3 linked regions of the Macaca fascicularis genome follow. The protein of the gene in region 3 binds, or shares a complex with, the protein of the main gene of each other region. Links are inferred from orthologs where the notes say so. Each region holds a gene or a part of one and is shown on either strand. Other genes may lie near its edges.

What was found.
Region 1: the proteins of FGFR4 (region 3) and KL are in contact, whole or in part, in a cryo-EM structure (PDB 7YSW), measured with the Homo sapiens proteins. The link is inferred for Macaca fascicularis from reciprocal best matches to the Homo sapiens genes FGFR4 and KL. Residues at the interface, in NP_001341913.1 of Homo sapiens: Asp266, Gln282, Leu284, His286, Ile287, Ile289, Gly295, Ala296, Asp297, Gly298, Phe299, Pro300, Tyr301, Val302, Gln303, Val304, Leu305, Lys306, Asn311, Ser312, Glu314, Leu318, Tyr319, Leu320, Arg321, Asn322, Asp327, Thr332, Leu334, Leu341; in NP_004786.2 of Homo sapiens: Ser539, Gln540, Phe541, Thr542, Asp543, Asn545, Val546, Tyr547, Leu548, Trp549, Asp550, Val551, His553, Ser554, Lys555, Arg556, Leu557, Ile558, Val563, Thr565, Arg568, Tyr571, Val573, Ala576, Gln579, Pro580, Glu625, Arg628.
Region 2: the proteins of FGFR4 (region 3) and FGF23 are in contact, whole or in part, in a cryo-EM structure (PDB 7YSW), measured with the Homo sapiens proteins. The link is inferred for Macaca fascicularis from reciprocal best matches to the Homo sapiens genes FGFR4 and FGF23. Residues at the interface, in NP_001341913.1 of Homo sapiens: Glu156, Lys157, Lys158, Leu159, His160, Ala161, Val162, Pro163, Asn166, Asp240, Leu242, Glu243, Arg244, Ser245, Pro246, Lys272, Val273, Tyr274, Ser275, Asp276, Ala277, Gln278, Pro279, His280, Ala308, Asp309, Ile310, Ser312, Gly336, Asn337; in NP_065689.1 of Homo sapiens: Leu32, Gly33, Ser35, Trp36, Gly37, Tyr43, Ala45, Thr46, Ala47, Arg48, Asn49, Ser50, Ile75, Arg76, Ser77, Glu78, Asp79, Ala80, Gly81, Val83, Val84, Tyr93, His117, Gln118, Thr119, Asn122, Gly123, Tyr124, Asp125, Leu158.

What each region holds. Positions count from the first base shown.
Region 1 is NC_088391.1:12,764,127-12,767,703, forward strand, and holds part of KL (klotho), read left to right. Parts: intron 1-1,250; coding exon 1,251-1,761; intron 1,762-2,525; coding exon 2,526-2,794; exon of another isoform or gene 2,795-2,844; intron 2,845-3,577. UniProt on the Homo sapiens protein: May have weak glycosidase activity towards glucuronylated steroids. However, it lacks essential active site Glu residues at positions 239 and 872, suggesting it may be inactive as a glycosidase in vivo.
Region 2 is NC_088385.1:5,238,071-5,242,216, reverse strand, and holds the start of FGF23 (fibroblast growth factor 23), read left to right. Parts: upstream 1-1,315; 5' UTR 1,316-1,441; coding exon 1,442-1,652; intron 1,653-4,146. UniProt on the Homo sapiens protein: Regulator of phosphate homeostasis. Inhibits renal tubular phosphate transport by reducing SLC34A1 levels. Up-regulates EGR1 expression in the presence of KL. Acts directly on the parathyroid to decrease PTH secretion. Regulator of vitamin-D metabolism.
Region 3 is NC_088380.1:184,015,183-184,018,759, forward strand, and holds part of FGFR4 (fibroblast growth factor receptor 4), read left to right. Parts: coding exon 1-62; intron 63-1,675; coding exon 1,676-1,786; intron 1,787-1,878; coding exon 1,879-2,069; intron 2,070-2,410; exon of another isoform or gene 2,411-2,426; coding exon 2,427-2,549; intron 2,550-2,656; coding exon 2,657-2,727; intron 2,728-2,973; coding exon 2,974-3,111; intron 3,112-3,577. UniProt on the Homo sapiens protein: Tyrosine-protein kinase that acts as a cell-surface receptor for fibroblast growth factors and plays a role in the regulation of cell proliferation, differentiation and migration, and in regulation of lipid metabolism, bile acid biosynthesis, glucose uptake, vitamin D metabolism and phosphate homeostasis.

The sequences.
Region 1 (3,577 bases), on a different chromosome or scaffold from region 3:
ATGAAACATAGCAGATATGTTCACCACGAAACTAAAAAGAAAAGTTAGCCATAAACTATCTTATTCCATTGAAATGTTAGGCTGAACCCCTAAGAATGTTGATGAGGCCATTCTTGGGTGCCTGTACTGAATTGAACCAAGAGAGGAATATTTAGGATATGTTGAAGAGGCTATTTGGCTCAATGAACAAAGGAGTTTCTGCAGGCCCAGGGAGTGGAATGAAAATTGGCATGATCATTCTGGAGAATATATGGAGTCAAACAGAGAATGAGAATGGAGTTTTCAAAGAGGATATGTTAGGGGAATAAAGGCTGATAAACAACACTTGTCTTTGTAGGAAAATAGGGAGAGTAAATCAAGGAATTCAAAGGGAAAGAGAAACTCACTTCAAGTAGGGGAGAAAAAACTCCTATAATTTTCACTCTTCTTTGTAGATAAAAAGGAAACAAATGAAAATAAGATATTAGAAGTCAGTAAGAATTTATGGGAGTATAAAGTTGGTTTTATGGATGCAAAGCCCTTTTCATTGCTGTACGAAACTCCTGGCTGCATGCAAACAATGGACATCTGATCTCCTTGCAGCTGTATTTTGCTGTTTTTTGCTCTTGGCTTGTACCTTGCACCCTGGGTCTGTGGGAAACCAGAACTGTCCCAGAGTTCTGGAGGGTAGGCCAAGGTTAGATACTGGAGTGGGTTCTTTAATTTATTGTACTGATTCTTCTTAGGGAAGAATGAAGATTGCTTGTTAGAATTTTAGCTATGAGAGATGACTCTGAAACAGTAAATTAACTCCAATGACCTGAGTCATTTTGAAAACTCCCAGTTTCAGGATAAAAAATATAATCCTATTTAGAAATTCCTGGTGTGATCACAGATGTAGCATTGGTTCTTTTCACAAAACCCGTAAATTAAAAAGTACATAATCCAAAGTCAATTAAATAGTAAGATATTATAACAAATTCTTTTATTTCATTAGCTTTTCAAAATGTGGATAACACACACTCAACCCAAGGAATTTACATTTTTCCACTGACTGCTAAAAATCAATGGAAATAACTCTAGTCCTGGTAGCACCTCACTGTGGGGTGACCTACCTTTGAAATAATTTATTGGTTCCAGCTGATTTTTACATTGTTAGTCATTAAGTTAGGCTTGATGAGAAACATATAATTTGAGTTGGGGATTCAAGTATTATATTGCATTTCTCTTCACAACTAGAGATAAATTCGTCATGGTTTTTCTTTTCATAGGCTCATGCCAAAGTCTGGCATCTCTACAATACTTCTTTCCGTCCCACTCAGGGAGGCCAGGTGTCCATCGCCCTAAGCTCTCACTGGATCAATCCTCGAAGAATGACCGACCATAGCATCAAAGAATGTCAAAAATCTCTGGACTTTGTACTAGGCTGGTTTGCCAAACCCATATTTATTGATGGTGACTATCCCGAGAGCATGAAGAATAACCTTTCGTCTCTTCTGCCTGATTTTACTGAATCTGAGAAAAAGTTCATCAAAGGAACTGCTGACTTTTTTGCTCTTTCCTTTGGTCCAACCTTGAGTTTTCAACTTTTGGACCCTCACATGAAATTCCGCCAATTAGAATCTCCCAGCCTGAGACAACTGCTTTCCTGGATTGACCTTGAATATAACCATCCTCAAATATTTATTGTGGAAAATGGCTGGTTTGTCTCAGGGACCACTAAGAGAGATGATGCCAAATATATGTATTACCTCAAAAAGTTCATCATGGAAACCTTAAAAGGTATGATTTTGGGTAAAGTTCTCATTTCCTGCCAAAGTCTTCTAGAAAAAAATCTCCAAGATTATCTAACATGAACTATGTGAATTTATATTTTTAAATCCTAATGGAGACATTCAATTTGGCAATAGTAGGAATGCATTCGTGTAACACCTTTCTCATTTGGGGTCTTGAGGAACTTGAAGTAATTTTTAAAAACCCATTTGTAAATGAGAAACTGGGTTATAATATTTGTAATTACTTAACTTTCAGAGTTACTAATCTAGATTTTTAGATTAAATTGAACATAAATCCCAGGATATCTAGCTCTCTGCACATGTTTTTCAGTTCTTGTTATTTTGGTTGAGTAAAACACTTTAAAGGAAAAGGAATGTCCATGTTTCCTAGAGAAAACAGTATAAATAGATCATGCTTTTAAAGCCTTCATTTATTTATTTATTGCATCAGACACAATGCTGGGTGTCTAGGATGGAAAGTGGTACAAGACATCTTTCCAGCCCTGTAGAACATCTATTATAAATAAGGAATTATTCTGTCGAGGTGCTCAGAAATCCAAAAAAACATATTGATAGGCCTATTTTGAGGGCATTTATTTGTAGAGTTATATAGGTTTGATTAGAGTCTTTTGTGAAGAAGAGAAATCATTGGCTTACCAAACAAGAAGCATTACACTTTATTTAAGTAGGAGAACGCTCAGATGCTCTTGAATCATGATGCAAGTGCCCAGCGAAGGGTCGTGTTGCTCTTGTCCCCTCTTCCCTTTGCAGCCATCAAGCTGGATGGGGTAGATGTCATCGGGTACACCGCGTGGTCCCTCATGGACGGTTTCGAGTGGCACAGAGGTTACAGCATCAGGCGTGGACTCTTCTATGTCGACTTTCTAAGCCAGGAAAAGACGTTGTTGCCAAAGTCTTCAGCCTTGTTCTACCAAAAGCTGATAGAGAAAAATGGCTTCCCTCCTTTACCTGAAAATCAGCCCCTAGAAGGGACATTTCCCTGTGACTTTGCTTGGGGAATTGTTGACAACTACATTCAAGTAAGTCAGCTGGCAAAACCTATCAGCAGTCTCACCAAGCCCTATCACTAGTAAGTAGTGCTTCCTTCCTAGGCTGATTGTCACGGCACATTGTCCGTTCTTAGAGCCAAAACCAATTCCTTATGAGCACACTAAGGATACAGTTTGGAATGTTGCACCCTGCTCTCCAGAAATCTTCCTATCTTCATCTTGTTTAAGTTAGATGCAAAGAGAAATAAATTTAAAACATATCAATATTTAAGATCCGATTAAGACAGTGAAAAGATAAAACACTCTCTTTTCACATTGTGGTTTTTGATCCTTTTTAAGGCAGTTGAGTTTTTTCACGAACAGGATCTAACACAAAACTCCAAAGCCTCCGAGTTTCAGTGGTGGGGCTGAGACAGAGGCAGGAACATGAGGCGGACTCCTCCAGAGGCACAACTGTGGGCTCCACAAATGTGCAGAGATACCCTAAGAAAGTAAACCCTAGATCCAGTGATTCACTGGTCAGAATGTCTTTTTTAGCAATAGTCTTTGAAATGATATGAAATTTCTTCAAAATGATCAACCAATATTTATTGAGCATCTTCTCAGTAGTAAGCCCTTAACATTCTTTTAAATTTCCCAAATTTTGAAGGGACTTGTTTTCCAGCATTTGATTGGATACTCTAGTAAGCACTTATTGGATGTCTAGTGTCTCCAAAGCCTTGTGTTAGTTGCTCGGGTCGCTTGGTTAAGCGGAATGCAGGTAGAGGGTACACTGAGATGCGTAAGGGCAACCTTTGCATTCAAAGGAGCAAA
Region 2 (4,146 bases), on a different chromosome or scaffold from region 3:
TTAAAATCTTGATAATGCATGGTGTGCCCCTCTCACAGAGTGGCAGTGAGGTTCAAATGAGCTAATAGATGTGAAAATGCTTTGTAAACTATAAAAAAAAAACTGCACAAATGTAGGGTAACAGATGCCATTTCTTTCTGTCTATACCTGTATGCTTGCACTCATTTTGTATTACGGTTACTTATTTTTATCTGCCTCCTGCATTAGATTTGAGCTCCTCGAGATAGGAATCACATCTTGCTGTCTCCTATATCAACTTGTACGTGATGTCTAGCTTGATGCCTGTACATGGCATGTACTCAGTACATGGGAAATTGGAAGAGGAGCAATCTCCTTGGGTATTTTTTCGGGTGTATGTTGCAGTAGCTTGCTCCCCTTTAGACTGTGCGTGCCAGGACTATTCCCCCCAACATGAGGTGTAGCTTCCCAGAGGGCGCACTGTGAACAGCATCTGCAGGCAGGCATCCAGCACCAAGCTGAGCACTCATGTACAGACACTAAATGTGGGGACACCCTGTCCTGAGGCTCGGATTCCCGGTGCTCAGCCAGCAGCCTTTCCAATCCCCATGAGGTCTCTGAACGGGTCTCCTTACTCCTGGAGAGACTATTCATTTAGTTGTCCTCGATAGTCCAAACTAGGGAAACTGAGAAATTGAAACTTGGCATGTTCAGCGAAGTCCAAACTAAGGACGCTGAGAAATCGAACCTTGGCATGTTCAGTGAGCTCAAGACCTTGCTTCTTTTTCTTCCATTTCAAAATCTTCCCAAAATGGCAACTTTGGTTTTTGTGCCCCTGCTCCCAGCTCCCATCTTTCACGAATTGGGGGTTCTCAGAGGATGCCATCTGCCTGACGGTGTCATGTATCTCTATATCCTACAAGCTAGCCACCGAATCCTGCTCATAGATTAAGCACTGATACATACTTGCTGATTGGAATTTAAAGAAAACCAAAATAAGTAAACTCGACGGGAGATTAATTGCCTGGGAGTCGGTTGACTGCTTGACTGAAGCTGGATTTTTTTTGGGAACCGCTGGCTGCCTTCGCATTTCCTGATGGACGTGGGACAGGTCAACAGACAGCCCAGAGCGGCAGATAACTTTTGCCCACGCGTCATTCATTTTTTTGGAGCGTTGGCTTGAAATTGAGGGGGGTGTGTGTGTCTGGAACCGACGTGCCTTCCGTGCGCCTCCGGGGTCTCTGCACTCTCTTTCAATGGGCTGATTACAACACAGAGGATGTGGACAGCGGAGTTTTTCCTGTTTGATGTCACACTGCTACCCTTTAAAAGTCTGATGGCAAAAAGGAGGGAATTCAGTCTAGGATCCTCACACCAGCTACTTGCAAGGGAGAAGGAAAAGGCCAGTGAGGCCTGGGCCAGGAGAGTCCCGACAGGAGTGTCAGGTTTCAATCTCAGCACCAGCCACTCAGAGCAGGGCGTGATGTTGGGGGCCCGCCTCAGGCTCTGGGTCTGTGCCTTGTGCAGCGTCTGCAGCATGAGCGTCATCAGAGCCTATCCCAATGCCTCCCCATTGCTCGGCTCCAGCTGGGGTGGCCTGATCCACCTGTACACAGCCACAGCCAGGAACAGCTACCACCTGCAGATCCACAAGAATGGCCACGTGGATGGCGCACCACATCAGACCATCTACAGTGAGTAGGACTTCAAGCTGGGAAGAAGGGGTGCGCCCCTGTTGTCCATCTACAGGGGGCTTGGGGAGGTTGGGGACTAGACTGGAGGGCTAATCCAACCCTCCAAGCTTTCTGCCCAGGAACCACTTATTGTCTGTGTGTGTGTGTGTGTGTGTGTGTGTGTGTGTGTGTATTTAAATCTTAGGGGAAGATTCTGTCACTCTCCTAATTAGTATTTGCTGGTTTTTCTAACATGCATACTTTTTGTTTAAACTAAAACCCTTCCCACAGTAGGAGCCATATTCCCTTTGCCCCATCAAAAGATTCAGAAAATATACTGAAAAAAAGCAAGGAGTCTAAGAGAAAAAGAAGCCAGGCAGATCAACAGACACTAAGTTTCAGCTCCTGGACTTCAGGCTGGGTTAACTAGGCAGGTTGGAAAGAAGATTCCCAGGTCATACCCAGATTGTAATAGATAAATCTGGGGGCTCTTTCCAATTCTGGCCTTATAAAAATTCTTGGAAAAATGTATTAAACACAGACCGTCCAGGAATGTTGTCTTGGTGAGAATGGCCAAGTATACAACCCATCCACCCATTCATTTGTCCATGCATCCATCCATCCAACCTTTAAACTTTAACAGGTTTAAAGGCTGTTTCAGATACTCAGGTACCCCGGTACCCAGTACGCATTGGTGATTCTTCTCCGTGGAACTGAAAGGTGTCCAGTCAGTAGCAAGTCAAGCTAGTTAGAAACTTATTGGCAATGTGAGACAACTGGAATGTTTTTAAAGATCAGGTTTGTGGAGAATTGGATCACAATCCACAATAATCAATCCATTAGCAACGATTCAAATGAGGGCCACTTTGTGCGCACCTATATAAGGGGTAATGTGGTGGGAGCAGGGATATTGAAAAAGACTGGATCTTCTATTTTAAGAAAACATGTGAATACCTCTGAGAATATATAAAAATGCAAAGTGATCCAATATAGCTCAAATTAAGGGAAAGAAAAATTAGTTAGACAATCTCTAACTAAAGAAAACATAGGAATTATGATTTGCCTTTTATTGTTGTAATAAGTTAATTATTTTTGCTGTGACCTTGCTGTGTGTGAGGCATTTATTCTTCTAGGAACCAAAGGTCCTTAAACCTGGTTGCAAGATATATAACATGCAAAATTAAGTTGCAAGATATATGACATGCGAAATTGACAGTTTAAACCTCCTCAAGTGCTAGATGCATATTGATAGGAGATAAAAGGAGAGAGAAAAGTTCTCTCCAAATACCAAACAGGTTCCAGAACTCTAGAGGATATACTAAGACTCAGGAGTCAACATCTTGGAAACCAAGTGTGAGTCTCGTGGCAAAAATTTCAATTAAATCTGGATATACTTGATGAACCCCAAGTGTTGTTCATTTTATTCAATGGATATTTAACAGGATCTACAATGTGCCTGGCATTCTATCAAGCTCTGTGACTGAAAAGTAAGACACAACCCCTCAAGGACCTTGTGGTCTGTCGTCCTGCCTTGTCAGCCAGCTCACTACCAGACTTTAGGAAATGCGACTTTGCGCCTCTCATGGAGCGGCCACTCTTACTCTGATTCAAGACTCTATGTGATTTAAAATGCAGAATAGTAGATGATGGTAAATTGTTTTGATTCTCTTAGATGGAAAGGGCGGCATCCAACTAGAGAATGTTTACACAACTTGTCTCGAATCCTGGAATCCCATTGCTGAAAGGAACTCCTTAAAGACGTTTCCTCCTGAACAAGAATTAGGGTAGAACGGAACAGGCTGGCTACGGTGGGGAGTGAGTGTGAAGAGTCGACCTCCTGGGCTGGCATTCTGAACTGTAGACCTTTTCCTTGAAAACCCACCTCGTATCAGGCCCCAAGGGATCATTGAGTGCTAGCTGAATTAAAAGGATTGAGAGGCAGCAAAACAAATGGAACTGACTTCAGATCTTTAAAAACAGAAATACGGTTTTGTTTTCTTAGACACAGGCACTAGCTAAACATTGCATCTTTAAAGAGTTAAACACGAATATGGGGAGGGGAACTTAGGGTCAGGGGAGTGGGAGAGAGATCTGCCTTTCCTAGTCTATGTAGATAACTTTTTGTACTGTTCAATCAGTTGTCACGTGTATTATGGGGGGGAAAAAGTGCAGGAAAAAAATTACACAATACAATTAAAAGTTACCCAAAAGAGGCCAGGTGTGGTGGCTCATGCATATAATCCCAGCACCTTGGGAGGCCAAGGCAAGAGAATCACTTGAAGTCAGGGGTTAAAGACCAGCCTGGCCAACATGGGGAAACCCTGTCTCTACTAAAAATACAAAAATTAGCTGGGCGTGGTGGTGCGTGCCTGTAATCCCAGCTACTTGGGAGGCTGAGGCAGGAGAATTGCTTGAACCCAGGAGGCGGAGGTTGCAGTGAGCTGAGATCACACCACTGTGCTCCAGCCTGGGCGACAGAGCGAGACTCCGTCTCAAAAAAAAAAAAAAAAAAAAA
Region 3 (3,577 bases):
CTTTGGCATGGACCCTGCCCGGCCTGACCAAGCCAGTACTGTGGCTGTCAAGATGCTCAAAGGTGAGTGTGACCCAGCGTGGTGGCTCACACCTGTAATGCCAGCACTTTGGGAGACCGAGGTGGGAGGATCACTTGAATCCAGGAGTTCGAGGCCAACCTGGGCAACATGGCGAGACTTCATCTCTACAAAAAAAAATAAGAAAATTAGTTGGGTGTGGTGGTGTGTGCCTTTAGTCCCAGTTACTAGGAAGGCTGAGGCAGGAGGATCCCTTGAACCCAGGAGTTGGAGGTTGCAGTGAGCCATGATCACACCACTGTATTCCAACTTGGGCAACAGAGTGAAACCCTATCTGAAAAAAAAAAAAGAAATAAAAGTAAAAGGTGAATGTGGCAGCCTGGAGGAGGTGCTATGGCTTTGGGACTAATAGAAGGGGATCACAGTGCTACCGGGTGAGCCCTGGAGCTGGGAGAGGCTGTGGGATCCCACCTTTAAACCTGCAGTTCAGCTCTGCTCCTGACCCTGGCAAGTGACTTCTGAGCCTCAGTTTTCCCTCGTGTCATATGGGGTAAATAACAGTCCCTACTCCCAGCCCAGGGACTGTGGAAAGTGCCTGGCTCATATTCAGCCCTCAACAAATCGTCACCATTGGGGTGACGATGATGAGAAGGATTTGGTGTGACAGGCTTGATATCCTCTGTCAGCGTCAGTCTGTGTCAGCCTTGACTTCACCTCTTCTCAGCCTCACAGGCCCTCCCCCGCCTTCCCTGTGGTTCCCCCCAGACACACCCTCAGCCTCCCTGGGACCCTCCCTAGGTCCATCCCGCGTCCACTGCTCTAGAAGGACAGCCCTTCTGCTTGCACCCAGTCCCAGCCCCGAGGGTGCTCTTGCCAGGCACTCCCGTACCCCGCCCATCAGGTCCTCTCGTTGCAGTTCCCCAGCGCCCCCTGCAAGAATGGCCTCAACTGCTCTTCTGCTCCTCCCCTCCTCTCTACACAGCTGGGGCCACCTGGTGCTCCCTGGGAGGCAGGGATTGAGAAATGTGCATTGTGACATTGCCGTGTGTGGGTGGGGAGTGTTACATCACTGGCCCAGGGCCACAGGTCAGCCCCAGGGGCCCAGCCAGAGAAGCCAGAGCAGCCTTCTTCCCAAGCTCCCTGGCTGCGCCCTGCCTGCAGCCGGCTCCCTGAATTCCCAGGCCAGTTGGACGCCAGGCCCTGGTCAAACAGACCCCAGGGTGCCAGCCTGCTTTCCGCTCCCAGAAGCTCTGACCCCATGTAGGGACTACCGCTAACCCCTCCAGAGGCAGCTTCCTTCCTGCTCCGAGCTCTTCCCCTCTCTCCTGTTTCCTGGACCTGCCCACTGGAAGGCCTGCCTCTCAGATCCTTGATATAGTTGCATCCTTGCAACTGCTGTGACAGGTAGGGTGTGACCCACTGCTCTGTTTCCCACAAGACGACCCTGAGGTTCAGAGACACTAGGAGACTTTTTCAAGGCCACACAGACTAGCAAGGATTCAGCCCTAGACCTACGTAGCCCTGGTCCAGTGCTCCTCGCCCTGCCCCTGCCTCTGCCTCGCCCTGCCCCTGCCTCTGCCTCGCCCTGCCCCTGCCTCTGCCTGTTCCCTCATGTAGTTGGAGAGCAGCCTCTTCACCCCATCTGCTGCCCTTACAGACAACGCCTCTGACAAGGACCTGGCTGACCTGGTCTCGGAGATGGAGGTGATGAAGCTGATTGGCCGACACAAGAACATCATCAACCTGCTGGGTGTCTGCACCCAGGAAGGTGGGGCCAAGGCGGGGCCGGCTGCATGGGCCGTTAGGGTACAGAGCCAAAGCTGTGGCAGTCTCTCCAAGCTCCCTCCACTCCCTCTGTAGGGCCCCTGTATGTAATCGTGGAGTGCGCTGCCAAGGGAAACCTTCGGGAGTTCCTGCGGGCCCGGCGCCCCCCGGGCCCTGACCTCAGCCCGGACGGTCCTCAGAGCAGTGAGGGGCCACTCTCCTTCCCAGTCCTGGTCTCCTGCGCCTACCAGGTGGCCCGAGGCATGCAGTATCTGGAGTCCCGGAAGGTACAGGCGGTAGGGCTCTGGGCCCCTCTCGATCTCTCCAGCTCCACTCTCTCAGGCCTGTGGCATTAAATGTCCCCAACTTCTTCCTTTCTGCTCTTTTTCATGACCCCACCTCAGTGTCCCCAGGCATTCATGCTTTCCTGCCTTCCCCACTTGTTCCTCACACTTCCCTAGAAGGGAGAGGGGAGAGGGGAGAGGGGAGAGGGGACACAGGAGAGGGCGTTCCCCATTTCTAAACCTTGACCACCTCCTCTGTAAAGTGGGTGGAGGGCCCCTGCCCCTGAGCCTGCTGGGGGGTGGTGTGTGCTCAGCTCAAGGTCAGGTGTCCTGATGCACCCAAGCCCCCACTCCCTGCAGTGTATCCACCGGGACCTGGCTGCCCGCAATGTGCTGGTGACGGAGGACAATGTGATGAAGATAGCTGACTTTGGGCTGGCCCGTGGCATCCACCACATTGACTACTATAAGAAAACCAGCAACGTGAGGGAGACGGGGCAGAACTGGATGGGAGTGGAGGGGGGCTGGGCCTGGGGTGGCAGGCATGGGAACTCGTGGGACTCTGCACTGAGGCCCTCCCTCCCCTCCAGGGCCGCCTGCCTGTCAAGTGGATGGCGCCCGAGGCCTTGTTTGACCGAGTGTACACACACCAGAGTGACGTGTGAGTCCTGCCAGCGGTCACTGTCCTACCCCACAAAAAGGGCAAGGCACTGCCCAAAGTCACATGGCCCCAGGAGGCCTGCGCTCCAGGGCTCCTTCAGATTTGTTCTGGGATCCGAGTGGGACCACACTCCAGGAGGAGCCCACTCCCCACCAGCTGGGGTGGGTCATGCCTGTGGGGTCCCCCGTCCTAGCCCTGGTCTTAGGGAGGGCGCTGGGCCACACTGAGCCCTGGCCCTGCCTCCAGGTGGTCTTTTGGGGTCCTGCTGTGGGAGATCTTCACCCTCGGGGGCTCCCCGTATCCTGGCATCCCGGTGGAGGAGCTGTTCTCACTGCTGCGGGAGGGACATCGGATGGACCGACCCCCACACTGCCCCCCAGAGCTGTGAGGCCTCATCCTGCCCTCGACCCCCACTTTCCAGTCCTCCTCCTCTGCCCTGACCTTGGCCTCAGGGTTTGTGCCGGCCAGAAGGACAACACTAACAACAACTCCTCCTCCTCCTCTTCCTCCTCCTCCTCTCCTCTTCCTCCTCCTCCTCTCCTCTTCCTCCTCCTCCTCTCCTCTTCCTCCTCCTCCTCCTCCTCTCCTCTTCCTCCTCCTCCTCCTCTCCTCTTCCTCCTCCTCTCCTCCTCCTCTCCTCCTCCTCCTCCTCTCCTCTTCCTCCTCCTCCTCCTCCTCTCCTCCTCCTCCTCCTCCTCCTCTCCTCTTCCTCCTCCTCCTCTCCTCTTCCTCCTCCTCCTCCTCTCCTCTTCCTCCTCCTCCTCTCCTCTTCCTCCTCCTCCTCTCCTCTTCCTCCTCCTCTCCTCTTCCTCCTCCTCCTCTCCTCTTCCTCCTCCTCCTCTCCTCTTCC